Ovis aries: one gene and its partners. The protein of the gene in region 7 interacts with the protein of the main gene of each other region in a pairwise test. Links are inferred from orthologs where the notes say so. Each region holds a gene or a part of one and is shown on either strand. Other genes may lie near its edges. The genes, in order: phospholipid scramblase 2, PLEKHB2, TNIP3, RABGEF1, SQSTM1, POLI and DAZAP2.

Region 1 (3,806 bases), on a different chromosome or scaffold from region 7:
GATTAGTAATTTTTTAATTTCCCAGGTGATTCTAATGTGCAGCCAGGGATGAGAACTGTTACTTGAAAATTTTATATGGTTGGTGTTTAGAGAATTATTAGCACTTGGGGGATATTTTAATCCACCCATGGCTAAATAACAGTAGATAGTACATAACTAGGTTATAACCAGACTGGCGAGCTTGTGAGAAAAATAGCTCAACTTTATTTCTCAAGTCTAAGGCTCATGTAGTACAGGTCTTTTATGATAATGATGCTAACAACAGTGATGGATTAAAATTGAGAGCTTATCATGCTAACTATGGATTAACTCATTTAATTGTCAGACAATATTAACAGGGTAAATACTATTGATTATCCCAATTATGCAAGTGCAAAAACAGGTATAGAGAGACTGGATCAGGCTTCAAGTTTTGGCTTCTATATTTAATCATTGTGTAATGGTTTTAAGCAAGTTGCTATACCTCCAAGCCTCAGTTCTTATGTATAAAATGGGCATAATATTTTTTAATTCAGGTGGTCTGAAGATTAAATGAGACTATGTGTAAAACACCCAGCACAATGCTTTACAATTAATAAATGACACATATTTGCCATTATATTAGTAATATATTAAATCAATTGTGCTTTAAGTAAATGAAATATTATTTCAGGTAATTCCATATGCCTATTTAATCCATTGATTTGGAAAATAACTATTCTCTCAAAGAATCCTGTGAAGATTTAATAATGCTAATAATGTAACCAGTTAATTCACATCTCTCCCTCACTGGCTTCCTATGGTTTAATCTTTTCACTATAGTTAGTGCTGTTTAAAAATAGATATGTTGATGTTACAGACAGTACCTAATGGGTGAGGCTTCCCTAGTGGCTGGCTCAATTGTAAAGATACCACCTGACAATGCAGATGATATGGGTTCAATCTCTGGGTTGAGAAGATCCCCTAAAGAAGGAAATGGCAGTCCACTAAGTGTTCCTGCCTGGGAAACCCCACAGACAAAGGAGTTTGGTTGGCTACAGTCCATCGGGTTGCAAAAAAGTTGGACATGACTTAGCAACTGAAAACAACCAACAACTATTAAAATATTGTAGGACATAGAATTTTCTTTGAAGTTATATTCCATTCCTATGGAACAGTTCCTCTGTGGACTATTCATTTAAATTATAAAGTTACAAAGCTTCATATTTGTAATCACAAATTCATGTGGAATAGAGTAAATACTTATTGAATTTATTCCACTACTGTGCTTAATAAATACTTGAGACAATTTTGCCTGCTAGAAGTTTTTACCTTCCTTGATTCTCAAGTTATATTTTCCAGAAAGTTGCTAAATTGTGAAATTTAAATTTGGAATGGAAGTATCATAATTAAACTTTTTTTTTTTTTTTCCTATGTGGAGGGTTTTAGGAATGGAATACACCATGGGTTAAAACTTCAGGCAAACTGTTAACCCAAGGGAGTATCTGGACAGTAGTGGAAGGAATGACATGCCTTTACCTCTTTATGAGGGTTTCTCAACAAAGGCACCATAATATTTTCGGAGGGATAATTCTTTTTTTTTTCAGGGTGCTGTTCTGGTGCTTTTAGGCTATTTAGCAACATCCCTGGCTTCTACCCACCTGAGGCTAATTCTACCCTCCAATTGTAACAGCCAGAAGGGTCTCCAGATGTTGTCGAGTATACAATAAAGGGACAAAACTACTGTCAGAACTATACGTATAGGAAATATCACTTGTTAGAATTCTATAATCATTTTTTTCACAAGGTGGTTTGGCCATAGAAATGCTGACTCAGAGCCTCTATTTGGGGCTTTCTCCTCAATGCCATCCCTCTTTTTCAAGAAGCCATTTCAGAAGTTTTATGTACCTGACTCTAGATTGTTGTTGACTTTATTTTACTTCCTTAGTTTTCAGGCATATTTTCATCTGAGTTTTGACTGATAAGGATAAGTCTGTGTGGCAACTCTGTACACAGAGCCTAAAGCCCTCAGAATAGGAGTGGACATGAAAGCACAGATACCTCATTGAAAAATCACTGAAAGATAAGAATATCTTAGAATCCTAAGAATCGTAAATATCTTAAGATTTAAAAATATCTTAGAAATCCTGTTTCTTCTGAGTAGAAATTGTAGTTTGTAGACAACTGGGGTGATCCTAAAAGACTTGGTTTGCATTTTTCTGTGCAGTTATGAATTATTTCACATGTTCATATTTCAGGACCTCCAGGACATATTGGCTATTCTGACCCCCAGGCTGGCTATCAAGTGCCACCGCCTGACTATGCAAGTCCTGGCCCAGTCGGCCTTCCTGTCCAATACCAGCCAGTGACTGGTCACCCAGGAGAGCCCACACAGGTACCATGGATGCCAGCACCACTACCTCCATTAAACTGCCCACCAGGACTGGAATATTTAACTCAGGTAATTCAATACCTAAAACACTCATTAAAAACAAAACAGTGCTCCCAGTTTACTTAATGAGATTAACAATTAACTAATTCACAAAAGTGTGAAACAGTAAACAACTTTACTAACAAATTACTCTAATTCTTCTAGGTCAGGTTTACTTTTACAGCAAAATGCAAATGTCTTAGGAAATTGTGTGTTCTATGATCTTGAATATAATCTGCAGTAACAACCAATAGCAAACCTTTAGTAAGCACTATTTTCCATGCTTTATTCCTAAGTGTAATACATGTAGTAACTCATTTAATTCTTTTAAAAAAATGCTGTGATATGTAAGTATTATAATTATCGCCATTTTACAGAAGAAGAAACTTAGGTACAGAGAAGTTATATAATTTACTCAACATCAAAATGCACAGGAAGTAGGAACAGATTTTTACTTCGGGGACCTTGGCTCTGAAAACTGTGCCTTTTAATCCCAACACTGAATAACTTCCCAGGAGTTGGAAAGAAACAGCAGACTCAATTTAGTGTTCGTTTTCCACAAGTGGTACTAAGAAAGGAGTTAATAATCTGTGTATAATATGACCTACCTTTTATAATAATTAGAAAATTACATTTTTATGTTGCTTTTGTTCTTTAGAAGACCGAATTTTATTAATGCTACCAATAAGGAAAAAACATTCCTGGGTTTTAATGTACAGCATAATGGCTTACCTCAGCAATGTGAGGTTTAGTATTTGTTTGGCATTAGAAATCTGGTAAGTTAGTTTTCAGCAAATGAGCTGTCTCTCTTTCACTCTGCACTAATTTAATTTCCCATAATGCACTTGGGCTGCATATAATATAAGAATTTGGTAGTTCCTAAATTCTCTAAGAAATACCCTAAGTATATTATTTTTTAAGAAAAATTAAGCCCTTACAATATATTTGGGGAAGTCATCACCTACTATAAATGATATTAAGCACACTTGAAAAATGTTTTTATTTGTAGTAAAAAGCTCTTTAAATGGATGAAAAGGTCTTAATATTTCTTAGGCCCTTTCTGGAAGGAACATTTTTTTCTAATTTTATACGGATTCCAGTGTAAGTCAATTTTGCTTGACTTGAATTTGCCCACATTAAAAATAAACACGTTTCAGTAGTTGTTAAGAATATACTAACTTTAATTTTATACCTAGAAGTGATACAAACAGTTATTAACTATTAATAAATGTTGATAACTGATTATATACATTCTTTTAAAACATACAAACACTGATGTTAATTTGTTTGGCTTAATAACATGGTTACAGCTCTTTTTTTTTTTACTATAATAGATAGATCAGCTATTGATTCATCAGCAAATGGAACTTCTGGAAGGTATGTATTCATTGTATTTATCATATTTCTAGGAAGAGAG
Region 2 (4,545 bases), on a different chromosome or scaffold from region 7:
TCCTGACTTATGGCGCTGTGGGATGCTGCGGACTCAGTCGTACTTTCCCCGTCCCAGTTCTAGAGTCACCGGTATCTCTCAAGAGCCCTGCCCAGCTCCTTTTGCGGGAAAGTGGTATTTACAAGCCATGTCAGGGGAGTCTACAGTGCCCTTCCAGTTGAAACTTAAGCCCGACCCTGCCCACGCCGCCCCCGTTAGTCAGGCCCGTTCGGGCCCCGCCGCACGTCCGGCCTGCCTCGCGTGCCCTGCGCATGCGCGCCGGGAGGCGTGACGTCTGACGGCGGCCGGGACGCCAGCGTGAGGCCGCCGGTGCCGAGTAACCGGGCAGTGTCCTTTCGCTTCGGCCCTGTTTCTGTGCGCGGTGGTGGCCGGACGCTTTCCAGGTGAATATTCCTGTCCGATTTCGGCGACCCAGACGCCCTCCGGCCGGGCCCACCCACCCTGCGCCCATCCGAGGAGACCCCAGGCCCGTGCCCTCCGTTCCCCACCCAGGCGGCGGTCCCCCCGGAGTCTCCTCTGGAAAGGCCCATCCGCGCCCCCCAGCCCCGCCCGAGCCCTTCCTCTCCCCTTCCTTTCTCCTCCATGTCACCCTCTTTCTCTGCTTCCCTCCTTCCCCCGGGCCCTCCCAAGCTTGTCCAAGAGCCGCCGCCCTCGCCTCCTCCAAGCGGACCCCCCTTCCAGACCGTCGCGCTCCGCCCCTCCGATCCCTCGGAGCCTCCCCTATAGCCGTCCGCCTGTGTCTTCTCCACAGGAAACCCCCCTCCCTTCGTCCCTTTTTTCTCTCCTTCTGGAGCCTCCCTTGGAGCTGCGCGACCGCGCCCCATCCGAGTTGACCCCTCAGCGGCTCCTTCCCTCTCTCCCTAGAGCCTCCTCTGGAGCCGCCCGGCCTGCTGGACAGCTCCTGCTGCTGCCCCCCTTCCTGCAGGTGCCCCCCGCCGGCCCGCTGCCCATCTGCAGTGTGGGCGCAGAACTCCACCCCTGCTGCCCCGCCAGCCCAGGGGATTTGGACTCTTTGGTTCTCCTCACACCTGGAGGTCTCGTCCTCCTTAAGAAGGAGTCTGGAGTGGCATTGAAGCTTTGCGCTCGCGTGTGGGGCCCTTCTCCGCTTGGTTTCATCTACTCTCGGTTTTGCAGTGTCTTAGTTTTTAGGTGCTCCTAGTTGCATTATGTCTTTTTTTGACAGATTGTCTCACCTGCCAGTTACATTAGGAATCTCAGAGCTCAGGGGTTTTTTGTTCTTTTAACTCAAAGGTAGAGTAGCTTACACAGGAACGTGTTTATAAATGACCGAATAGTAAAATTCCAGGTTTCCGGGGTGAGCGGGGGAAAGGAATGAGGTGAGACGGTCACAGTATAAAAAAAAATCTAGGGGGACATAGTTAATTTTAAATCATGTTGGAATTGACTCCTGAGAAGCTCTCGTTTTTTTTTTAATGTCTTTTCTGTCTAGGACGGGGTAGAGCCACTGCCAGAGGGAGCAGCGCTTTTGTCTATAAAGGAAAGGAAGTTCCTGGGTCTTGTTGAACTTTGAGGAGACCAGTTCCAGTGCAGGAAGTGACTTGTCTCAGTTACGAAGGGAGGGGGAATTAGGGCCCCGAGCTACTTACCTGTTAACTACCTGTTTGTTTACGACCCTTAATGTTTGTCTGACAAATAATGACCAAAGTACAATAGAAGTGTTACGTGCATGTGCAGCAAGACTGCTCCTGCAGCTGGTTTTCTTGTGCTCAGCACGTCCCCTCGGCCCAGGAAGTTCTTAACCCTGGGCTGGGTTGGACTGGTCTGACGGTTATTGATAGAAGGTGGTTGTTGGGGAGAGAGCTGGGCAGGTGCTTGTCTGGTCTTCCCTGTGATTAGTGTTTACTCTTGTTGGTAGTGATGACTTAAGTAATGCCCCGGCCCTTCCCCCAACTCCCCCTCAAATCTCTTGAGAGCAGGAATCAAACATATGTTGCAGGATTATCCTGGCAGGTGAGAGTGTCTGGCACAATATAGGTGGTCAGTAAATGCTTACTGAAGGAGATTGCAGAAAAGAACTCAGAACCTAATGCCGTTTCTTTACTAGCATGTTTTTAATGGTGTTAGCATATTCTGCAAGTAAGTAGCCTGATAATCTCAGGGACTGAATTTGTGAAATGTGTAAGTGGTGTGGAAAGAACAGATACCTTCTTGAGGTAGTCATATTACTTCTTGGGAAAATAGAGGTTTTTCTTGATTTCACTCTAGAAGGTTTGCTGCTGTACTTACCAGGTTGCTATCCTACATTAATATTTGGGTTCTTTCTCCTGTCCTGTTTTTTTGTTTCTTACTGAATGTCTAAAGAAATTAAAGAATTACTTTATTAGTGTCAGTAACTACCAAAAACTGTTGAGTAAAATTAACTGTTAAAAATGTTACAAAAGGACTTCCCTGGTGGTCCAGTGGCTAAGACTCTGCACTCCCAATGCACGGGTTGGGGTTCAATCCCTGGTCAAAGAACTAGATCCACATGCTGCAACTAAAGATCCTGCACGCGGCAATAAAAATGAAGATGGAAGATCGTGCCTGCCACAGCTAAGACTGGTGCAGCCAAACAAATATTCTTTGAAAAGTTACAAAAAGTGGGCTGGTTGAATCAGTCCTATTTTATTGGCTGTATATCTGCTTCTGAATTTGATCCTGAGTACAGAGTATTGAACTTTCTTGCCTCTTTGTTTTAGTCTGTCTGTCCTTTGATGGGTGCTTGTATTGGATTTGTTATTAAAAATTGATCAGTATGTAAAATGGCCAACACCAAATATGAACTGACCTCTGAATGATAATAGATTACCCAATCCTTGTCCCCTGTGTTGTTTTGGAGTCCTTGAAGAACAAAGTTTTCCTTCCTTTGGTAAGGAAGTAATTTTACAGCTAAAATACTAGTTCCTCTGAAAGTGAAAGTGTTAGTCACTCAGTCGTGTCCAACTCTTATGGGATCCCATGGATTGTCTCCTCTGTCCATGGGATTTTCCGGACAAGAATACTGGAGTGGGTTGCCATTCCCTTCTCCAGGGGATCTTCCCTACCCAGGGTCTCCTGCATTGCAAGCAGACTCTTTACCGGCTGAGCCACCAGGGAAGCCCCTAGTAGGTAAATTTCCTGATAATCTCAGGGAGTGAATTTGTGAAATGTGTAGGTACAGAATGAACAGATACCACTTTTTAAAAAATTTTGTCCAGCTGTGCAACTGTGGGATCTTAGTTCCCCAGCCAGAGATTGAACTGCTCTTGGCAGTGAGAGCTTGGAGTCTTAATCACTGGACTGTGAGGGAAGTCTCCAGATACCACTCTTGAGGTAGTCATATTCCTTGGAAAGGTAGACAGTGCTAACTAAATAAGCCAGGTAAAGTGGGCTTTTAGTCAGAACTGTCAGATTCCAAAGGCAATATTCTTTCCAACTTTTAAATTGGTCCCCTTTAAGATTCAATGATTTTTAAAGTGATTTGAGTTCATATTCAAAGTGACTTGAGTAATTCCCTGGCAGTCCAGTGGTTAGGGCTGGGTGCTCTCACTGCCCCAAGGTTGGGGTGAGGGCAGGGTGTGTGTTCTGGGTTTGATCTCTAGATGGGGAAGGAACTAAGATCCCATAAGGCAAGAGGTGCGCCCCCCAAAAAATGAAATGTTGAATATGATTTGTATTTTTAAAACTTTTTGTAGATTTTATTGGTATGTGAGTAAGGTGGCTATTTTGCAGCTAGTTTGCTGGTAGGTATTCTGTCCTGTAGAACTCTACTCCTGTAGAGTTTTAGTTTATGCATTAGATCCTACTTCAGGGTATAGCTTCCCTGGTGGCTCAGAAGGTAAAGAATCTGCCTGCTGTGTAGGAGACGTGGGTTTGATCCCTGGGTGGGGAAGATCCCCTGGAGAAGAGAATGGCAACCCCCTCCAGTATTCTTTCCTGGAGAATCCCATGGATAGAGGAGCCTGGCAGGCTACAGTCCGTGAAGTCACAAAGAGTCAGACACGATTGAGCGATTAAGCGCTTGTGTGCGTGTGCACACACACAAACACACACGGAAAGTGAAATTCAGCAAGGTATGTCAGAAAGCTATTACTGTTTCTTCAGAGACTGATTTAGTTAGGTATTCTGGGAAGGGTTTTTTGGTTTATGTTTTTTTTTTTTTTTCCCCCTTCTACTGTGTGTTCAAATTTTGACAGCCAGGGGCATCTTAGTAAGTCTCCTAAGCCATTTGAGAAGCAGCCTCATGTGCTTCTGTCTTCTAGAATGTTTCGGGCAAATTTTAGGTGGATGGTGAGGAAATAATAGCAAAAATAGTAGTAATAATTGCTGTGGGAGTAGCTACCATTTGTTGGTTTTAGTAACTGTCACACACTATGCAAGCACAAGCTATTTTACCCAATTTTCGAAACATCTTATCCAAGTAGGAATTAGTATTCTCACTTTATAGATGAAGAAACTAAGCCTTGGAAAAGCTAAGTAACTTGCCCAAGGTGATTTATAAGTGATTGAGCCAGGATTTAAACGCAGTTCTTTTGACTTCAAACCCTGTACTCTGAAGCATTAGGT
Region 3 (3,806 bases), on a different chromosome or scaffold from region 7:
AGACCATCAGCTGCAGCTTTTGAGGAGTGCAGACTTTCAGTTCCTACCCCCACATGTACTGATTCAGGATGCTTGGGGACAATGCCCAGGGATGGGCATATTTGCTGCCTCTCCAGGTGATTCTGATGCTTCCTAAAGTTTGAGCTTTATTGATGGAGCATATATTTGACTGAAGCAGAGACTCTAGAGAAAGACTATGTATCTGTTTTCCAACTATGATTAGTCAGGTGGGAGGGAGGGTCTGTAATATTAAAAACCTTCTTAAGTCACAATGAGAGTTGAATAACATAAGCACCATCATGGAGAAAAGACAGAGATTCTGGAAAAAAATGCATATATGCTAGAAAATCAGAATAACATTATTTAGTGAGGCCTTTAAAAATGAACTTCTACCTTGTGAGTGCATTTGAAACGATTGTAATAATTGCAGAGAAATACATATGTGGCAACTCTTAGGTCAACAGTGTGCTTATCTTATAATACAGGCTCTGCAGGATGCCTTGAAACTGGAGTGTTCTTCATCTCCTGAGGACCCTTTGGGGAAGTCTGAAATGGAGTGCAGCCATGAGGAGATGCGAACAGAAATGGAAGTTCTCAAACAGCAGGTGAGAAGTTGAAAGTGGAGCAATCTTGAGGAGAACTTAGGGCCTGTTGTTCATGTGCTGCTTTAGACATTTCTAGAAGTCCTGCTTTTCACTTTGTGTCAAAGGGTTTTGCATGTATCTAATTATAATTACCTAATTTTAAAGCTTTATGGGGAAATTTAGATCAACTAGTCCAACTCTGACACTTTATAAAAGAGAAAATTGAATTTCAGATGGGTCGAGTGGCTTGCCCAAGAGCACACAACTTAAAAGAAGGGCATGCTAATTAACCTTTTAGTGAAATTCTATTAGCACTGGTTCCAGAGATTTTCACACAGACACAATTTATTTCGAAGACACTATTAACCTAAACTCTGGACCTTTTCAGAAAATGGTAGCAGCTGGGCTGCTTCTCTGTAGCTTCAGACCTTCCAGGCTTTGCAACAATGAGGGCAGTTTTAAAGGGAATACTCTGCGCTGATCAGAGGAGGCACATCTGTTTATCTACTCCCACGTATGGATGGCACTGCCTAGGAATTTACTGACGAGTTATGGCTTCCTCCTTCCCACCCAGCCTGCTTCACTCACTGTTGCCAAGTACACAGCAAGAGTCAAGGATGCTCTAATAAGCTCTTGCATGCATCAGCGGCACGGGGCTATGGGACATAGCACTGCCTAAACTACCGGAGCCTAAATTCCATTCATATAGCTGGAACTGGCTTAGCCACAGGGCCACTCGAGCATATCACATCTCTTTTCCTATGAGAAGTGAAATGAACTAGCATAGGTAAAGGGCTGGAACAGTTCAAGGTGATATTGAGAAATACAGGAATTCCAATCCTCGAAGCACACATGGTTGGTGATATGTTAACAATGGCAGGTTGCAGGGCAGGATGTCACAGAACAAAGAATGTATATGTAGGATTTTCTGATGTCCCTGGGAGTAGCTTGTTGGCTGTTTTGCTCCGAGCAAGTGCCAATTACAAGGAATCTTGATGCAATACACAGAAGAATTGAGCAACTGTGATATTGTTATTTACATTACTCTTATTACTTCATAGAATGTAACTATTTATAAATCTAAAATATCCAGAGCATTTGACGTAAAATTGGATCTTTTTCTTCTATCAACTCCATTTGAACAATCTGCTTCATTACATTCAGGATCAAATATACAGCTTAGAAATAAACCCATGTTGAGATTAAGGGTATAGTCAGAGTGTTAAAACTGCCAGATTCTCAACCCCTGAAGTAACACTGGCACAAACCAGGATTCCTTTGAAAAACGGACTGCTTATGTTCAGACACTCGAGTCATCTTCATTGTTCTCACATAATGTAAATTTCATGCAGGAGAGTTGCTCTTACATGCAGTGTTTACAGTAATGGTTTAGTTTGTATTTGACAGAGATAGTGGCAAGTATTCTTTTTTTCATAACCCCCAAGAGTAGACCAGGATTAATCTCCTTCATTTTTGTATGGCCCTTTTGCTAGCTTTCTACATTCACATTTTAACTGTGCACATTTCTAAATGGGTACCTACAATAATTACACCACCAAGTGCTACGTGAAACTCTAGAGAATTTAAATTCACAAAGAAACTGAGCTTGAATTGGCCACCTAAGTGATGACATCACTATAAGTGTGTTCTGTTCTGATCAATGGGCTTCTCCCACTTTAGTTGCCTCTGGTAATTGTTTATTAATTATACATTGATTAAACTGTATCTGTGCCTTTGGACTGCTACTCTCAACCAAAAAAAAAACAAAAACAAAAACCCAACACCAGAAAACAAAATGTCAGCTTGGCTGCATATAGTTCCTTTGCAATCCTTCTGATGAAAAAAGGCTTGAAATTAAATATGTATATCTGCATATAGAGCTATATAAAATGTTTCATTTTTTCCTCTCTTGCCTATTACACTTTGTTCTGTTATTATTAACTTAAAATTGATAATCCTTTAGTTAAAATTTGTTGCACTGTTGGTGATGATGGTGCAATGTAGTTTAATGTTAGGTTCTCATGTATGTTATGATTTAAATCTAGTTTTAGAGGAATTCCTTTGCTTCATTCCTTAAGCTTCATTTGTTTTCATAACTCCACATTCTAGTCTCCAAGCCACCAATCAACACTGTGCCAATTAAAACAAACAATAATTAAATCTGTTCTGGGGCAAGGTTGTTTTGATTACTTTTCTACAATATTTGGAGTACATCTCAAGAGGCATTCCACTAAAACGTTCCTCTTTTTATGATATATGCCCACAGTTACTTATAAAGGGCAACTCTCATGAATGTCCTTTAACAAACATCCCTTGGTTTCCCACGTACATGAGCCTTTCATTTTTAACTTGTACTCAACTTATAATTTCTGTTTAGAAACTTTGACATGTCAGTAGTCAGTGGCTTCGCTTAGCTATTGTCAGTAAACTGACTGAAGAACTTCAAGCAATATTTATGTCAAAGCCTTGTTTTAGAGATGAGTGATTTGTTCCAAAACAGTGACTCTTAACATTGATGGAGTCAGGGGGGTCAAGGTGTCCTCACAGTCATGTAATATGCAATAGAAATATTGGTGAAGGGAATTTTTTTTCAAAATATCCATGAATTTACTTATGAATTACTGCTCAATGAGAAAAAAGTAGAGAAAGTGCCATTCTAAACAAACTAAAAGATGAAATTATAGTCACAGGTATCAAGATGGAGTCCCACCATAAAGAAATATTCATGAAAAGAGGACATCCATGTCTCAGATTGGACAAACCCAGACAGCATCTCTTCTGAACTCATTTAAATGGCTTAAGAGAAAAGGAAGCTAGCAGTAACAGCATGTTAACATTTCCTAGGTGCAAATATATGAAGAAGACTTCAAAAAGGAGCGATTAGACCGAGAAAGACTTAATCAAGAAAAAGAAGAGCTACAGCGAATTATTCAGACTTCTCAATCCCAGTTGAACAAGCTGAATTCTCAGGTATAAGTTCAAATAACCTTTGCCAGCACATATGTATTTTATATTTATTTTCTCATTAAAAAATCAAGATATTTTGGCTTCTGTTAATGGCCATTTTTTTTTTGAGAGATTAACATCTGGGATGAAATCATTTGTAAACAATTTTATAAAGAGATGAAAATGACTGGCGATTCCTTTTAACTTAAGTATATTAAAGAGTTATCCAAGAAATTGGATTCCAAAGTCTTTTACAAAATCCAATTCTTTTGATCT
Region 4 (3,806 bases), on a different chromosome or scaffold from region 7:
CAAAAGAAAGCTCTTAAGCCAGGGCAGGTTGGTGGTACGTAGAACACAAATAACCTTCTAAGGGATTTGAAAAATATTTTAACTTCCTGTTAGAGTTGGCTGTGTCTTCAGAGAAGATTAATGGGACAGTTTGACTGTAAAGACTCAGAGAATTTACTTTCAGTTTTTTAATCTCCAAAGCAGGGTTGAGTGAGCTGTAGTTTAGAGTAAATCACAGTGGGTCAGCCAAGTTGAAATACTTGCTCATACATTCTAAAATGCTCTTTTTCTTTAGCGGTCAAATAAATGTCACCCTGAGTAGAATCTTGTGTTCATCTTTTACAAATAATCTAAAAGTTATGCTCTAAGGAGGGATTAAGGAAGGCTGTCCTTTTTTTTTTTTTAGAATTAAAATGCCAGTCTTTCTGCTTAGACCTTAGATTCTAAATACTATCCTACACTGAAGTGAATTCGGGTTCCTTGGAGAATTGACTGATTCTGGAACTGGAGCTGGGAAAGGAGGGCCCCTCAGAAATGTTGGGGACATGTCAAACACCCAGAGGTCAGCTTGAATGGGTTCCCACTGACCAAAATTGGATATCAAAACAAATAAAGATATAAATGGACTGTAGATGAATAAAACAACAATCCATTAGTCCATCCAACTAATAAAATAGATAAATGAAGAAGGGAAGAAAACTCTTGCTTACCATAGAATGTTGACTAACAAATATAGGAGTGATGGAGACAGAAAAATCACCATTTTATAGTTATCCTGGTAGGAACTGGTTCAGACAGGTTTCACCAGTGGATGCTGAATCTAGGGTGAGAGGAGGGAGTTTCCTGAGGAACAAGTTGTGAACCATGATTCAGGTTAACTCCCACAGCTTATTTACTGATTACAAATAAAGAAATGATAGCTGTATTACAACATGGGAAATGGACCTTCTGTGCCTCTGGATATGATAATTTGAGAAGAACACAATATCAATTATGTAATATTTAAGCTGAAAATTTATAACCTGACATCTAGTCATGAGGCAACAGTAGAGAAACACAAGTTGAGGTACATTCAGTAAAAATAACTGGCTCATATTCTTCAAAATTGTCAGTGTCATGAAAAAAACAAAGACACATTTCCAGGTTAGACTGTATGACCAGTCTCCTCAGTTTGTGTGACCCTCAGTTTGATCCTGTGTTTAAAAAAAAATGCTAATTTTTCAGTAACTATAGTTAGCAACAGAATATCCTTGTTGCTAAGAAATACTCAAACTAAGGGATAAAGAACATGATACATACCATCTACTCTGAAAAAATTTAGAAAAAATTGCACACAGACATGGAGCAAAATGTTAAAATTTTGTGACTCTAGATAATGGGTAGAAAGGGATTCTTTGGGAGAATTCCATGGACAGAGGATTCTGGTGAGCTGTGATCCATAGAGTCACAAAGAGTCAGACAACTGAAGTGACTTAGCAAGCATGCATGCACATACTAATTCATAACTGGTGAATGCAGTTCATCTTTTTTTTTCTTTTAAGTTTTTTTAAAGTAGTTTTAGGTTCACATAAAATTGAAAGGATGATGCAGAGATTTCCCATATGTGCTATGCCCCCACACATGCACAGTCTCTTCCAGCATCAGCATCCCCCACCAGAGTGGGCCATTTGTGTTACAGTTGCTGAACCTACATTGACACATGATTTTCAGAAGTATGTAGTTTATATAAGGATTCATTCTTGGCATTGTACATGCGGTTGATTCGGACAATTGTATAACAATATGTATTTACCATTATAGTATCATACAGAGTATCTTTCATTAGCATTTTGAAAGAGTATTTTTTAAAAATCAAAATCATCTGTCTTTGGAAAATAGTATTTGTTGAAGGGAGAGAGTGTGCACAAGTAAGGCAATAAAAGAGATGGCCAGAGTTTCCCTGCCCTTGGCTGGCTTACAGATCCGCAGAGTCTCAGGGCATGGTGTCCCCTGGAAAGAGTCCTCAGTCCACTCTGACATGCTGAGGCAGATACTGCATAGTAAGGAGCTCAGGCTACAGAGTTAAGGCACAGAGTCCTGGGTTCAGATTCCAGCTTGTGCCACTTAAATAGCTGCAGCATCATTCAAGTTAATTAACGTTCTCAAGCCTTAGCTTATAGAGTTGTGAGGATTATACAACAAAGCGTCGGAAAAGTACTTAGCACATAATAAGCATTTGCTGTATGTAAACTATTACCACTGTTAGTTTGTCAGATTGCATGTGTATTCTGTTTTTGTTGGGTGGAGTGTTCTATAAATATCAATTAATTCAAGTTGTCTGATAGCATTGTTCAGGTATTCTGTCCTTATTGACTTTTTTGTATTACCTATAATATTGATTACCAAGAGGGGAGCATCAAACTCTCTTATTAAAATTATGGATTTTTAAATTTCTTCTCTTTAGTTTATGTTTCATGTGTTTTAAAGCTGTGTTACTAGGTGCATGGGCTTCCCTGCTGGCTCAGGGGTAAAGAATCTGCCTGAAGTGCAGAGACAGGGGTTTGATTCCTGGGTTGGGAAGATTCCCTGGAGAAGGAAATGGCAACCCACTCCAGTATACTTGCCTGGGAAATCCCAGGGACAGAGGAGCCTAGTGGGCTATAGTTCACGGGGTTGTAAAAGAGTCAGACACGACTTAGCGATTAAACAAACAAGGAGAATCCAAATATTTAAACATAAAATAACTTAAATTCAAGTTTAACTTTGATTTAGCATAATTTAAATAATCTAAGGTTAGGTACTTAAAGTAATTCCATGCATGGATCTTCGTGTAATGAAACTTACTATGTTTAATTTTCCCAGCAGAAATTCAGGAAGCAAAAGCTCCCAGTCCTTCCATAAACCGGCAAACCAGCATTGAAACGGATAGAGTGTCTAAAGAGTTCATAGAATTTCTCAAGACCTTCCACAAGACAGGCCAAGAAATCTATAAGCAGACCAAGCTGTTTTTGGAAGCAATGCATTACAAAAGGGTAGGTTGAGAACCACCTAGAAATGTAGAGTTTTGGTTTTAGGAAAGGTCTTAGAGATAATCTAGTGAAACTTTGTCAATTTCCAACTGAGAAAATAAAGATCCAGAAATGTTGTCACTTACCTGAGAAATGTCACTGAACCAAGTTAAACATGACTCTAAGGCTAATACTTTTCCACTGCAACTCAATGGTATTTGGATCATCTTCATGTGGAAAGTCTGGCATCAAAGCCACTTATACTGTGTCCTTTAGTAATAAGCCTTCCTAACTTGTCACCTTATAAATAGTAAGCTGCCAAGGGGGTCATAGTAGACCTTGAACTCTTAAGTAGTAATCATTAGACCAAGAATAATCATTTAGGATTTTTTTTTTTTGGTTTAGTTTGGTTTTGTATTTTGATTTTTAATTTTCCTGTCCTTGCTCAGGTAGAGAAGTGAAAGCTAAAATTTAGACATTGAAAAGGACCTTAGCAACTTCTGTCCATTTATTGTACAGGTAGGGAAGTTGAGAGCTAGCGAGGATGAGTGACTTATCCAGGGTCACTTGGATAACAGCTTGTGTCCTCTCCATGTGTGTCTTTACCCTGTAATTTCTAACCCATAGTTTCAACAGTGAACCACTCTTGCCCACACCTTTTTCCTCTTCGTTCCTATCTTCTCCACTCCTAGAGTATGCCAGTGATGAGCAACCTTTTTTCCACATAGAGGTTGAGTCCAGAAAAATTAAGTAGTTTCAGAATTGCATTAAAATTTTTTTCAGCCATTTTATCTTTATCAGGACATACTTTATATCTGCATATCTGCACTGAGAGTTTTT
Region 5 (4,240 bases), on a different chromosome or scaffold from region 7:
CTTGCGTTGCCCAGGGCTGAGTGACTCTCAAGCTGCTGAGTCACACAGGGGCACCTGTGGGGTGCCTCCACCCAGCACTGCTCCCTCTTTGTCCCTTAACTCTGTCTGTAGGGCAGTAGGCAGAGAGGGTCTTTTCTCAGGCTCAAAGTAGGGATGCCGGGAGAAGCCTGAGAACAGACTGTCCTCTCTACAGGGTTCTAGACAGCAGTTCAAAGCCTTGCCTTCTCTGGAGCTCTCTGGGAAGGACAAGCCACCCTGTGAACAGGCCCCAGTTGTGCTTCCACAAGCATCGCACCAGTGCATCTGACTAGCCAAATCCAACTGACCTTCCTGTGGTCTCCAGGTTTCCCCTTATTCCTTGAAGTTTTACCTTCTTCCACAAACCCCACCATGAAAAAGCATGAATCTGACTCAGCAGGTTTGACTTTCTACTCACAGAACCATACCTGGGAGGGTTCATAGGGTGACATACCTTCTCGACTACCTTCTTCTAAGACACGCATCCCAACCCCTTCCCCCAGGCTGTTTGAACAGGTCACTTTTGTCACATAAAACTGGAGATGCCCAGCACAGGAAGGCGGTAGGCTGTTGATCTGCCTATTGGGCTGCTCATGAGGCAACAGACCTGAGACCCCCTCAGGCCCTTGGGTACCACCTGATGACAAATGGGTGTCCAGGCACCAATGGCGAGTCTTCTAGGGAGCACTTGAACACTTGGTGGCTACTGAGGCTCCAGGAAGCCTTAGCAAGCCCTCCGGGTCAGGTGGAGATGGGAATATTTTGTGCTGTCCTGGCACCTCTCAACCCTACCCTCTGTCAAACTGGGAGCTGCTGCTTGCGCTTCAGTTGGGAGGGTCTGTCCCTCCAAGACTCAGTAAAGGGCTGTCATGGAGGATGCTGGGGATGGTGGAGTGGGCTGCCACCTGAGAAGCTGATGGCTTCAAAGGGAGGGGCTTCTGCCAAGAGTGGCAAGGTCAGGACAGCACGTCAGGAGCCAATTTGTTCTAGATGGCGGTGCCCGCTGAGCGCCTAGGAGCTTCCTGGCTTCGGGCTTCTGTCGCCCACCTTCCTCCTGCACCGGGCATCTCCAGGCCTCCTGGGTTCTGCTTTGCTGAGTCACAGCCAGGACCAGACCTGGGAGGGGTCCCCAGGTGAAGAGGCTGGCGAAAGATCTTTGATGTCGGAGTAGGGGGCCGGCCTCTTGGGGTGCCTGGTGCATTAGGGGCGGTGATGAAAGGGGGCGGCAATGAGGGGGCCCGGCGGAGACGAGCGGGCAGTGAGCCTGGGGCTCCCGGAGGGCGGCTCGCGAGCCCCGGCCGGGCGCTGAGGCCCCGCCCCCAGAAGACGGTGGCGGGGGGCGCGGCTTCCCTCGTCCCTACAAAAGCCGCGCGCCTCCGCCCGCTGTTGCCCAGCTGTGCTCCAGCTCCTCCAGTGGCGGTGATGGCGTCGCTCACGGTGAAGGCCTACCTTCTGGGCAAGGAAGACGCAGCCCGCGAGATCCGCCGCTTCAGCTTCTGCTTCAGCCCGGAGCCCGAGGCCGAAGCCGAGGCCGCCCCTGGCCCCCGGCCCTGTGAGCGGCTGCTGAGCCGTGTGGCTGCGCTCTTTCCTGTGCTCCGGCCCGGCGGCTTTCAGGCGCACTACCGCGGTGAGCGGGCCCGGCGCCCTCGGCAGCGGTGCGGGGCCGTGACGCAGCCCTGCCCTGCCGGGCGGGCCAACGGCCCCTCGCCTCGGCCTGGGCGGCGCCCGCGGGGGTTTTCGCTGGCGGCTCTCCGGGTGGACGGCGGCCCGCGTGGGCCCCTAGCGCGGTCCTGGTGCCGCCCTGCTGACGAGGAGCGGCGGCCGCAGCCAGCCCTCGAGGGGGGCGTCTGGCGCCGCCAGGCCCTCCCGGCGAGGCTCAGGCCTGGCGGCCTGAGAGGCCTCCCCCCCGCGGTGATAGTGCAGGTTTTGGCGAGGGCGCGGGCGTCCTCACCTGCTCCCCCAGCGCCTCTCGGGTTACACCGACTCCTGGCTGCCGCAGTCCGGGTCTGCCGGCGCCAGGCGGGGGCTGTGGCGAGAACCCGGAAGAGCCGGGGCGGGCGGCCGCGGAAGGGCCGGCGGGGAGAGCGGTGACGCCGTTAAACGCCCCGGGAGGCGAGGCGCTCGGTGGTGCGGCCTGGCCCGCGACTGGCGGGCGGCTGGCAGAGGTCGAGCAGCCTCACGAACAGCCAGGGCTAGGCGGAATCCAGGCGTTATCCCACTGGCAGTGATGAGAGGCACAAGAGAAAACGTTCTTAGAAGTAATGGTGTAGGGACAGAGTCCAGGAGGCAGCTCAGTTTCTAGCTGCGCGGGTGAGAAGCTGGCTGCTGGGTGTGGGGTTAGCGGAGGTTGTTGTGCTGGGAGGGAGGCGGGCCCATGTACGTGGGGCGGTGCTAGGACCTTCTTCTGGACTGCTGCCAGGCTCCCAACTTTTTTTTCCACCTGTTTAAAAATTAGCGATTTTATTGAGCTACCACCCCATAGAATTCGTCCATTCAAAGTGTACAGTTTTTACCATATTCACGGATTTCTGCAGCCATTATCACAGTCATCTGGGAATCTTTCCATCACCTTCTGAAGAAACTCTGCCCTTTAGCGATCCTCCCATCCCATGCTTCCAGCCACAGATACCACTAACCTACTTTATGGATTCCCTTGTTCTGGGCAGTTCATGTAGAAATGTAGTCTGTTGTAACTGGCTTCTTTTATTTGGCATGATGTTTTTAAGGTTCGCGTATGTTCAGCATGTATCAGTATTTCATTCCTTTTTGTGGCTGAATAACATTCAATTTTATGGATACAGCACATTTTGTTGAGCTGTTCATTAGCTGATGGACATTTGAGTTGTTTCTGGCTTTTGATACAGCCACTGTTTTTTGGTAGATGTTGCATCTGGTGACCCACAGACCTGATCTAGCCTGCAGATGTATGGTGTGGTTTGTCTTGCATGGTGATGTTTTAAACCACTTGTGCCAACATCTAAAACTTGGAGACTACATACAAATACATAATTTTAACTTTGTTGGGGGCGGAAGCAGGCAGATGTATTCTGCTTTAGTCTTTTAAGCCACAAGCGGTCCAAGGGGAGCAGGTCATAGATGGGGATCTCCACGTTGACATGGGGACTGGGTCTGGCGGGATGTGCACAGAGACAGCAGCCTTCTGATGGGGCAGCTGGTCCAGAGGCAGAGCATAGTGGGCAGGAGCTGTCACTGCCGTCCCTGCACACACTGCTGCTGGCGTGTGTCCACGGCCCGGGCTGGAGTCCTTACCTTCCAGGCAGTGGAGTGAGCGGGTGGTTTGCCCTCAGCCCTGCTTTTCTCTGGGTCAGACAGGTGGGCTTTGGTTTATAACCTTGCAGTGGCCCTTCAGTACCAGCCTCAGCCCTTTTCAGCAGCTGTGTCCAACTGAGACACGCTGGGTGCTCACATGCTGTCTTTTAAACAATCTAGATGAGGACGGGGACTTGGTTGCCTTTTCCAGTGACGAGGAGCTGACGATGGCTATGTCATATGTGAAGGATGACATCTTCCGCATTTACATTAAAGGTAAGGGGCTGCGCTGGGGTGCTGCCTAAAGCCTAGTGCTCCCTGCTGAGTGCAGCTGGCTTGAGGTTATGCAGAAGTTCCTCCAAAGAAGGGGTGAGGAGACTGGGCCTCTTTAAGACAGGACCACAGTCATTACTCTGCTTGACCTGAGAAACGAGTCTGTGTTCACCACAGGGGGTGAGGTTGGAGGGTCTCTGGGTTCACTCTTTTCTTGAGGGGAGTTCCCTCTTGATTGCAGTCATGGGCCAGGGCAGCTTTGGGGTTTAGTTTAGTGCGGGTCAAGACCATAGCCGTATGGACACAGCTCTCTGTTGCTCCTGCCTGGGCCGCACGTCTCCAGGTCATGGGTGCAGGGATTGGAGCCTCTTAGCAGGTTCTGGAGCTGCTTTGTTACTGTCAGTTGAACACCTGAATTCCGGGTGGACTCAGTGTCTGAAGGGTGGCACTGTGGGCCTTCTGACCGATGGCCCCAAGTGTGATTCTTCGTGGCTCACCGAGAGTCTCGGCTCTCCATCCTGCCTGCAGAGAAGAAGGAGTGCCGGCGGGACCAGCGCCCCCCGTGTGCTCAGGAGGTGCCCCGAAACATGGTGCACCCCAACGTGATCTGTGACGGTTGCAACGGGCCCGTGGTGGGGACCCGCTACAAGTGCAGCGTCTGTCCTGACTATGACCTGTG
Region 6 (4,596 bases), on a different chromosome or scaffold from region 7:
AAGCTGAGCACTGAATAATTGATGCTTTTTAACCATGGTGTTGGAGAAAACTCTTGAGAGTTCCTTTGACTTCAAAGAGATCAAACCAGTCAATCCTAAGGGATATCAGTCCTTAATATTCATTGGAAGGACTGATGCTGAAGCTGAAACTCCAATACTATGGGCACCTGATGGGAAGAGCTGACTCACTGGAAAACACCCTGATGCTGGGAAATATCGGAGAAGGCAATGGCACCCTACTCCAGTACTCTTGCCTGGAAAATCCCATGGACAGAGGAGCCTGGTAGGCTGCAGTCCATGGGGTCGCGAAGAGTCAGACACGACTGAGCAACTTCACTTTCACTTTTCACTTTCATGCATTGGAGAAGGAAATGGCAACCCACTCCAGTGTTCTTGCCTGGAGAATCCCAGGGACGGGGGAGCCTGGTGGGCTGCCGTCTATGGGGTCACACAGAGTCGGACACAACTGAAGTGACTTAGCAGCAGCAGCAGCTGGGAAATATGGAAGGCAGGAGGAGATGGGGACAAGAGAAGATGAGATGGTTGGATGGCATCACTGACTTTATGGACATGAGTTTGAGCAAGCTCCAGGAGTGGTGAAGGACAGGGAAGCCTGGTGTGCTGCAGTCCATGGGGTGGCAAAAAGTGGGATTCAACTGACCAAGCTGAACTGAACTGAGTGCTGCCTGCCCATGCACACAAGACCTAAGAGATGTGGGTTTGATCCCTGGGTTGGGAAGATCCCCTGGAGAAGGAACTGGCAAACACTCCAATATTCTTGTCTGAGAATCACATGGATAGAGGAGCCTGGCCAGCTACAGTTCATAGGGTGGCAAAGAGTCAGCTGGCTGAAGGGACTTAGCACACAGACACACAGACAATTACCAATGTTGCGATAGTTTTAGGTGAACAGTGAAGGGACTCAGCCACACCTATACACATGTTCTCTCCCAAACTCTCCTCCCATCCAGGCTGCCACTTAACAGTGAGCAGAGTTCCCTGTGTTATACTGTAGGTCCTCGTTAAGTTTTCCACTTTAAATACAGCAGTGTCACAGTATCTTTGAGTCAAACAACAAAACGCAATTTTAACATACTAGCTAATCGTATTAGTTGGAGAAGGAAATGGCAACCCATTCCAGTATTCTTGCCCGGAGAATCCCATGGACAGAGGAGCCTGGTGGGCTACAGTCCATGGGATTGCGAAGAGTCGGACACGATTGAGCAACTAACACAATCAGTTTACAAGGTCGCCTGGCTCTCACCATAATTTCCATCGATTCCCCCACCCCCATCACCATAAAATTTCAGCATCTCCGGGTTAGCATTTCTAACAGTTGACCGGGAGAACAAGCTGCCTTCTACATAAAAATAAACATTTAAAACTTGTGATAAGAACGTAACTCCGAAGACCGCATGCGGGGGCTGGGAAGAGCTGTTTGGGATGGTAAACCCTCCTTCAAGGCTACGCTGGAGAGAAGTCCCAGAGGCAAGTCAGGAGGATTTGCAGCCCTTGCGACCATCAAGGTAGCCCGCGGCTAAGCGCACACTGCGCAGGTGCGAGCCCCGCTGCTCCCCGCGGAGCGCGGGCGGCCGCGGCCGGAAGCTGCCTTTCGGTGGGCGGTCGCCGCGGGGGAATGGAGAAGCGGGGGGTGGAGCCCCAGGAGGCAGGCGGCGGCGACGACGACGAGGAAGCGGACTCGACTCGGGCCATGGAGCGGGCGGAGGCGGGGGCGCCCGGCGGCTGGCCCGGGGCGCTGGAGCCTGACGAGCCCGACGACCTCCCTTGGTGTAAATGAGCAGGCGGGGCGGGGCGACGAGGGCGGGCGCCCCGGGCGGCGGCGGCGGCGGCCGTTGGAGAGCGACCGTCCCCTCCCCGCCCGCGTCCTGGCGTGTTCCCGGCTCCGCCGAGAGGGCGGCCCTTCGCCGCTTGGTGTTCTGAGGCCACGGTCCCCGAGAGGGGCGGCTTCGCCCAGAAGGGGAAGGCCGGGCGCGTCCAGTGGGGTGATGGAGGCTGCGCTCGTCTCCCCTCAAACAGCCCCGCGAAAGCGGAAGGGGCCTCGGGGGCCTCAGGGCTGCGGAAGCGGGAACCTTGTCGCTCACTTGGTAGCGGTTGCGGCCCGGCCTCAGCCCGGAAGGGACCGCCCGGCTCGGAACCGAACCCGGCCGGGTCTGCAAGTGGCCGCCTCTCTGCTGATCCGCTTCCAGCCTCGGGGCCCAACCCCCGGGGTTTGGGGCCAAGGCTCTCTCTCCTTCCCAGTCTCCCAGCCCTTCGTTTTTAAAAAGCTTTAAAAATATTAAATACTTGCAGATTTACAGAGAGATGCACAGATAACTTTTACCGACTTTAATGGCTTACGTCACCGTGATACATTTGTCAAAAGAAAGTAACGTTGGCATAGTAATTGATACTCTTAACAGAAGGACAAGCTTTATTCAGATTTTACCAGGGTTTTTTTTTTTTTCCATTTAATTTGTTTCTGTTCCAAACTCCAAACCAGGATACCACATGGCATTTTAGCCTGCCTTGTTTTTAACTGCTGTTAATAGCTGAAATCTCCTGTCTTATCCCTCTGACCCCTCCACCAAGATGTGAACTACTTTTTAAAATCCAGGAAATATTTACTCAGTCTTTAAATTTAGCAAGTATTTGTTGGTAGTCTGCTGCTACTGCTAAGTCACGTCAGTCGTGTCCGACTCTGTGCGACCCCATAGACGGCAGCCCACCAGGCTCCCTCCGTCCCTGGGATTCTCCAGGCAAGAACACTGGAGTGGGTTGCCATATCCTTCTCCAAAGCATGGAAGTGAAAAGTGAAAGTGAAGTTGCTCAGTCGTGTCCGACTCAGCGACCCCACGGACTGAAGCCTACCAGGCTCCTCCATCCATGAGATTTTTCAGGCAAGAGTACTGGAGTGGGTTGCCATTGGTAGTCTAGGTATCGGCTATTCAGCATTGAACCAAATAATCCTGATCTCTTGGGAGCTAAATATAGTCCACTGGGACCCATAGATTCTGCCTTCTGTTTTGTGTTTCAGGCTGTTTTTTTAAGGACATGCCACTTAGAATAATTTTTTGTTGTTGTTTAGTCGCTAAGTCATGTCTGACTCTTCTGTGATTGCATGGAATGGACTGTAGCCCACCAGGCTCCTCTGTGCATGGAATTCTCCAGTCAAGAATGCTGGAGCTGGTTGCCATTTCCTCCTCCAGGGGATCTTTCCCACCTGGGGTTTGATCCCATGTCTCCTGCTGCTGCTGCTAAGTCACTTCAGTTTCCTGCGTTGGCAGGTTAAATCTTACAAGGAGCCACCAGGGAAGGATAATTTTTAAGTTGGTTGGAAGATTTGTGTTTACAAACTTTTCAGCCCTTTCCAACTTACTTTAAGTTTTCCTATAAACTTCAAAGTCCTAGGATTACCTCTTGCGTCTTCCATTATTGATAAAAGGTTTTTTTCCCTTAAAATTTATTACTATCCTGAGAAAAATGCAATACACCAAGAAATAGTAAACAGGCCTGAGGACTCTCTTGTAGGTGGAGTTTCTTTCATATCCTTGTAAGTTTTAGATTCTTTGAGACATGTAATAAATCCAGGGGAAAAAAACTTAAAAATCACTCTATATTCTTTGTTGGTTGCCATGTTTTAAGGGACTGGCAGTTGCTCAGAGGTGATAAACAGGCTGAATGTGTTTTTTTCATTTGGTTGCATATTGTGCCACAGTTCATGATGAGCTGGAACCAGCAGGAAGTTCTTCATGTAGAGTCATAGTACACGTGGATCTGGATTGCTTTTATGCACAAGTAGAAATGATCTCCAATCCAGAACTAAAGGACAAACCTTTAGGTAATTCTGGACTTTGATACTATTTTCATTGTATGATATGATTTGTTATTTATTCTGATTTATTAAGCATATTAATGTTGGCAGCAGTTCTCTGATGCTTTATGGACAGTAATCTTTATTTCACTACTGGATGTAAACTTCATGAGCCTCATTTACTAAATGGCAAATGTGAGAGAAGCAGTGTAATTAACCAAATAAACAGGAAGACCACAATAAACTTCTGGTCTTTTTCTCAATGTTTGAAATTTTACAGCCATTTTATCTCAAGAATAACCTTTTAAAAAAATTTTAATAGGCATTTTCAACTATTCTACTTTTGAAATTAACTATTGAATTGTGTAACAAAATAGTTGGATTTTGTGTGACAAAACAACTGGATTTTGAACAACCCAAAATATTAAGGCATGCATAGTACAAGCTTTTCATGAAAACATAAGTATGTTTTAAAATAAAAGGCAAAGAAATTTTACATTGGGGAATTACCGAGTATTGTGTTTTGGCTTATTTTATTTTTACATTGGAAAAGTAAATTTCTAAAATTTTATGCATGTAGTAAGGATTTATCTTTGAGTAAAAGCATGCTGGGAAGGATTGCAGGCAGGAGGAGAGGGGATCGGCAGGATGAGATGGCTGGATGGCATCGACGATTTGATGCACATGAGTTTGGGTGAACTTCGGGAGTTGGTGATGGACAGGGAGGCGTGGTGTGCTGCGATTCATGGGGTTGCAAACAGTCAGACATAACTGAGCGACTGAAC
Region 7 (4,398 bases):
GGGAACCGGGGTGGGGGTGGGGACCAAGATAACACACCTGACTTTGTAACCTGTTCACTGTGTGACTTAGGGCAAATCTCTCATTTGAAAAACAGAAATGCTTAAACAAGCCCTGCCTGCCACACAGGGCTGTTGTGAAGATCTGTGATGACTCCATAAAATCATGCATATTAATGGTGTCCTGCAAACTGTAATTTGACACTGGAGAGAAAAACAGCGGACTGCTGATGAAGTGAGTACTGGTCTTTTCAGTGGTTTAAGTCATTCAACAGCAAATATGGATCAGGTTGCTAATGTTTACCGAGGGTTTTTCTTTTCAAAGCTTTCTTTTCAGATGCTTTTCTAATGTTCTTCCTACACTACAGAATGTAAACCATGAGAAAATAGCCTTGGGCTGTCTTGTTCAGCTCCATCTCTGTACCTGAACACAGCAAGCGTTCAGCAAATATCTTAAAGAATGGAAGCAATTGTTGCCTTAAAGGATGGCATCTTTGCTCTTAAGAACGATTAAGTTAGAAGAGAAGGGATACACAGAGAAAATACCTATCAGGTACCATACAGGTGTCTGTGACAGGTATCAAAGTAAGGGCCAGGGCATGGGTACTCCTTGGGTACCAAGAACATGCGTTTTAGTGCTAGCTGTTGCAGCGGGGTGGGGCGGGGCACAGCACAGCATACCCTTTCTGTCGGTGAGAAAGCGACACAGAAATAAAACACCGACAGCCTATCGGTAGAATAGAAAGGCAGTGAAGACTTGAGTGAGGGGAACGAGAGATAGATCAAGGGTTGCGAAGCATCTCAGGCAGTTAGGTAAGATTGTAGAAATCTATGTCCCGTGTGTGTGTGTGTGTGTGTGTGTGTGTGTGTGTGTAGGAATCTATGTCCCGTGTGTGTGTGTGTGTGTGTGTTAGTTTCCGGTTCGGTCCATGGGAAATGGCAACCCACTCCAGTATTCTTGCCTGGAGAATCTCATGGACAGAGTCGCACAGAGTCGGACTCGACCGATGAGACTTAGCAAGCATGCATGCCCCTTGTAGAAAGGCTGTCAAGGTGAGGTGACCTTGAGGTGCTGAACGTAGGTGGAAAAAGGTTCCAGAGAATAGTTTAATGTTACTGCCTCCGAGCGTTCAAGAGAGAGAAGATCCCGTTTTGAGACAATACCTGTATTTGGTTTTCCTTCAGCCGAGGGACAAGGGTAGGGGTTGGAGGACCAGACCCGGTGGGCGGGGCCTACGCGAGCGGACGGGATCACGCGGGCCCTCCCTCCTGCAACCGGCGGCCGGGCGAAGGGGCGGGGTTTCCGGTGGCAGCGGCACTCGGGCGTCGGGTGACGCTAGGCGGACAGATCGTCACGTGACACGGAAGTGACTACGAACAGGAAGAGGACGAAAAAAATAACCGTCCGCGACGCCGAGCCGAGCCGGACCCGCAGCCACCATGAACAGCAAAGGCAAGGATAGGGGGTGGCTGAGGCCGCCGGGGGGACTAGTGCTGGCCCGGAACGAGCGGGCCCGGAGCCCAGGGTCACCGAACGCCAGGCCTGGGGCGAGGTGCGCCGCGCTCCTGAGCCAGCTGCAGTGCCCGGGGCTGCGCCAGACACCTTCGTCATTCCCGAACTACGGCCGTTCGCTCCCTCACGGCCCTTTCTCCCTTAAACTCTGTGGCGCAGTTTGGAGCTGCGGACTCGGGTTGGGGGGGGGCTGTTGGGTGGGTGGGTTGGGGGGGTGGGGAGAAGGTTTGTCGTGATGGGCATCTGTAGGAGCAAATGGGGAGCTGGAGGCGAGATTTGGGTAGGCCAATGGAGAACTGGCAGAGGCGGGGCGCCGCGCTCCGGAACCACAGGCAGGCCTCCGGGCTTAACTAGTAAAGTGCCGCTCTGGTGGGCGGGCCAGTCGGGCCCGAAGGGGGTCTCTTCCCCCTTACCCTCGCTGGCGGCCAGAAAGTCTCCCGGTTTCTGTGTCAGAACATTCCCTTCAGCCCCCTCCACGATCTCAGCATTCACTTCCACCACTCACTCTTTTCATTTGGAAGTCGACCTTGAGTAGGAACCTGTGAGGTCGATGACCACAACCACCGTTACTCACGAGGTCTTGGTCAGTTACAACCAGACCTTTGGAGACCACGCAGGACAGGGAGACAGGACACACCGTTGAAATACCGGCTAGAGGGGATGCCCAGAACTGCCCTGCGTTCTGAGAGGATCTTGGGCCCAGCTAGACTTTCCCCTTACAGCAGTCGGCTACTGGATGTCCAGTTGGAATCCAGCTTCTTCAGCTTTAAGGGTGCAACGAGAATGCTTATTTTCTTGGCTCCAGGAATCAGGCCCTCTAGGGCAGTCTGTTTGGAAATCTCTTTTTGCTTATCCCAGCTAGATTAGCTACCCAATATGCCCTGCTTTGTTTTGGTGACTGTATGGTAGACAACATGCTTTTTTTCCCCCCTTGTCTTCCAGGTCAATATCCAACGCAGCCAACTTACCCTGTGCAGCCTCCTGGGAACCCTGTGTACCCTCAGACCTTGCATCTTCCTCAGGCTCCACCCTATACTGATGCTCCACCTGCCTACTCAGAGGTGCTTCCAGTTAACTTAATAATGGAATACTCTTGGATCATGTTTTCGGTCCTTGGCCAAGTCTGGCTCCACACATTTATTTACTTTCCACAAACAGAAGAGAGTGCTCACATGAATCATCTTAAAACGTGACATAGTTCAGCCATTTCTTTTGGGTTTGAGAAGGCATTATCTGATTGTTTTATGTTATTTGGCACTGGCTGAAGTTAAGAAGATGAGTTTGCATTCCCTGAGCCTAACATTAGCTATAGCAGGAAGTGATCCAGGAGAATATTGAGTGGCAGTGGAAAGGCAACTTGTGTAACTCAAAGAGTGTAATCTGCACAAGGAGAATTAAGACTTGACTCATTAAATTGAGATCTGAAATAGGAATGTCATGAAGTAACTTATTGCCTTCTCTTCTGCCTCTTCTAGCTCTATCGTCCGAGCTTTGTGCACCCGGGGGCTGCCACCGTCCCCACCATGTCAGCTGCATTTCCTGGCGCCTCACTGTATCTTCCCATGGCCCAGTCTGTGGCTGTTGGACCTTTAGGTTCCACAATCCCCATGGCTTATTATCCAGTTGGTCCCATCTATCCACCTGGTTCAACAGTGCTGGTGGAAGGAGGGTATGATACAGGGGCCAGATTTGGAGCTGGCGCTACTGCCGGAAACATTCCTGTGAGTATGACTTGGTCACAAAAAAGCTCGACCCTTGTGTATTTTAACTTTCTGAAATGACTGGTCATCCTTTCATCATCCCTGGGTAATAGTTGCTGGTATTGGTGTAATAATCACTGACGTCCAGTAGTCAGGCAGAAAGCACTCAAAGGGGCAGGAGAACCGTGGCCAGTCAGTAACATCTGGCGTACTCACTGATGTTAGAATTTATCAGATTCCTTTGTTTTCCTGTCTTAGGAGTCCTGCCTGCTGCTTTTCCAGTTCACTTTGATACTAGTTTAGTAACACTCCTCATTCATTCCATAAGCATTTATTTATATGTGCCATCAGCATGGCATCGTATTAGGAACCATGACGATTAAAAAAACAATGCATAATCCCTATTAAATTGCATTTAGAGAGATACTAGGGATTTTAGCAATGTCTCTTGATTAGTTCCCCTATGTATGGGAATTAGAGCCCATATGGTCCTTGCTAGGACCATCTACTCAATAACCATAGGCTAGGGATGAAGTGAAAATGCTGTCATCAGGTAGAGCCTTCAGATTATCCAGGGCCATTTGAAAACTGTCAGGCCCTGTGATATAAGTCCCTGGACCTGGTACCCGCTCCGTTTTGGGATGTGAATAGGAGTGATTTTCTGCACTGAAAATGCCAAGTCTGGACTTCCCACACTTAGAAGGTATCCATAGGCTTTATTTTGGATCCAGAACCCTTTAAATGAGTGGGTTTCCTGTTTATATCTTTGGCCTTACAAAGAATGTAGACCTGCTGGACTCAGATTGGTGGCCCAGATAGCTCTTTGAGATGCCGCTGGTTAGCACACTGCCATCTTCCTGATTGGTCCTTTTTCACCTTTGTCCACTTCCCTCCCATAGCTGCCCTCTGCCCAATCAACCTTGTCTTTTCCTTTCAGCCTCCTCCCCCTGGATGCCCTCCCAATGCTGCTCAGCTGGCAGTCATGCAGGGAGCCAATGTCCTCGTAACTCAGCGGAAGGGAAACTTCTTCATGGGTGGCTCAGATGGTGGCTACACCATCTGGTGAAGAACCAAGGCCATCTCTATGCCGGGAAAGACATCACATACCTTCAGCACTTCTCACAATGTAACTGCTTTAGTCATATTAACCTGAAGTTGCAGTTTAGACACATGTTGTTGGGGTGTCTT

What was found.
Region 1: the proteins of DAZAP2 (region 7) and phospholipid scramblase 2 interact in binary tests that used the Homo sapiens proteins (3 or more experiments, as listed by UniProt). The two-hybrid records come from large-scale screens. The link is inferred for Ovis aries from reciprocal best matches to the Homo sapiens genes DAZAP2 and PLSCR1.
Region 2: the proteins of DAZAP2 (region 7) and PLEKHB2 interact in binary tests that used the Homo sapiens proteins (3 or more experiments, as listed by UniProt). The two-hybrid records come from large-scale screens. The link is inferred for Ovis aries from reciprocal best matches to the Homo sapiens genes DAZAP2 and PLEKHB2.
Region 3: the proteins of DAZAP2 (region 7) and TNIP3 interact in binary tests that used the Homo sapiens proteins (3 or more experiments, as listed by UniProt). The two-hybrid records come from large-scale screens. The link is inferred for Ovis aries from reciprocal best matches to the Homo sapiens genes DAZAP2 and TNIP3.
Region 4: the proteins of DAZAP2 (region 7) and RABGEF1 interact in binary tests that used the Homo sapiens proteins (3 or more experiments, as listed by UniProt). The two-hybrid records come from large-scale screens. The link is inferred for Ovis aries from reciprocal best matches to the Homo sapiens genes DAZAP2 and RABGEF1.
Region 5: the proteins of DAZAP2 (region 7) and SQSTM1 interact in binary tests that used the Homo sapiens proteins (3 or more experiments, as listed by UniProt). The link is inferred for Ovis aries from reciprocal best matches to the Homo sapiens genes DAZAP2 and SQSTM1.
Region 6: the proteins of DAZAP2 (region 7) and POLI interact in binary tests that used the Homo sapiens proteins (3 or more experiments, as listed by UniProt). The two-hybrid records come from large-scale screens. The link is inferred for Ovis aries from reciprocal best matches to the Homo sapiens genes DAZAP2 and POLI.

The regions. Positions count from the first base shown.
Region 1 is NC_056054.1:242,583,824-242,587,629, forward strand, and holds part of phospholipid scramblase 2, read left to right. Parts: intron 1-2,216; coding exon 2,217-2,419; intron 2,420-3,723; coding exon 3,724-3,766; intron 3,767-3,806. UniProt on the Homo sapiens protein: Catalyzes calcium-induced ATP-independent rapid bidirectional and non-specific movement of phospholipids (lipid scrambling or lipid flip-flop) between the inner and outer leaflet of the plasma membrane resulting in collapse of the phospholipid asymmetry which leads to phosphatidylserine externalization on the cell surface.
Region 2 is NC_056055.1:114,910,819-114,915,363, forward strand, and holds the start of PLEKHB2 (pleckstrin homology domain-containing family B member 2), read left to right. Parts: upstream 1-1,691; 5' UTR 1,692-4,545. UniProt on the Homo sapiens protein: Involved in retrograde transport of recycling endosomes.
Region 3 is NC_056059.1:4,592,336-4,596,141, forward strand, and holds part of TNIP3 (TNFAIP3-interacting protein 3), read left to right. Parts: intron 1-485; coding exon 486-605; intron 606-3,428; coding exon 3,429-3,554; intron 3,555-3,806. UniProt on the Homo sapiens protein: Binds to zinc finger protein TNFAIP3 and inhibits NF-kappa-B activation induced by tumor necrosis factor, Toll-like receptor 4 (TLR4), interleukin-1 and 12-O-tetradecanoylphorbol-13-acetate.
Region 4 is NC_056077.1:28,722,004-28,725,809, forward strand, and holds part of RABGEF1 (rab5 GDP/GTP exchange factor), read left to right. Parts: exon of another isoform or gene 1-653; intron 654-2,820; coding exon 2,821-2,990; intron 2,991-3,806. UniProt on the Homo sapiens protein: Rab effector protein acting as linker between gamma-adaptin, RAB4A or RAB5A. Involved in endocytic membrane fusion and membrane trafficking of recycling endosomes. Stimulates nucleotide exchange on RAB5A. Can act as a ubiquitin ligase.
Region 5 is NC_056058.1:1,203,402-1,207,641, reverse strand, and holds the start of SQSTM1 (sequestosome-1), read left to right. Parts: upstream 1-1,440; coding exon 1,441-1,645; intron 1,646-2,063; exon of another isoform or gene 2,064-2,328; intron 2,329-3,468; coding exon 3,469-3,564; intron 3,565-4,089; coding exon 4,090-4,240. UniProt on the Homo sapiens protein: Molecular adapter required for selective macroautophagy (aggrephagy) by acting as a bridge between polyubiquitinated proteins and autophagosomes.
Region 6 is NC_056076.1:54,026,305-54,030,900, forward strand, and holds the start of POLI (DNA polymerase iota), read left to right. Parts: upstream 1-1,607; 5' UTR 1,608-1,636; coding exon 1,637-1,790; intron 1,791-3,715; coding exon 3,716-3,838; intron 3,839-4,596. UniProt on the Homo sapiens protein: Error-prone DNA polymerase specifically involved in DNA repair. Plays an important role in translesion synthesis, where the normal high-fidelity DNA polymerases cannot proceed and DNA synthesis stalls. Favors Hoogsteen base-pairing in the active site.
Region 7 is NC_056056.1:134,988,991-134,993,388, reverse strand, and holds the start of DAZAP2 (DAZ-associated protein 2), read left to right. Parts: upstream 1-1,355; 5' UTR 1,356-1,437; coding exon 1,438-1,450; intron 1,451-2,452; coding exon 2,453-2,571; intron 2,572-2,985; coding exon 2,986-3,231; intron 3,232-4,147; coding exon 4,148-4,276; 3' UTR 4,277-4,398. UniProt on the Homo sapiens protein: In unstressed cells, promotes SIAH1-mediated polyubiquitination and degradation of the serine/threonine-protein kinase HIPK2, probably by acting as a loading factor that potentiates complex formation between HIPK2 and ubiquitin ligase SIAH1.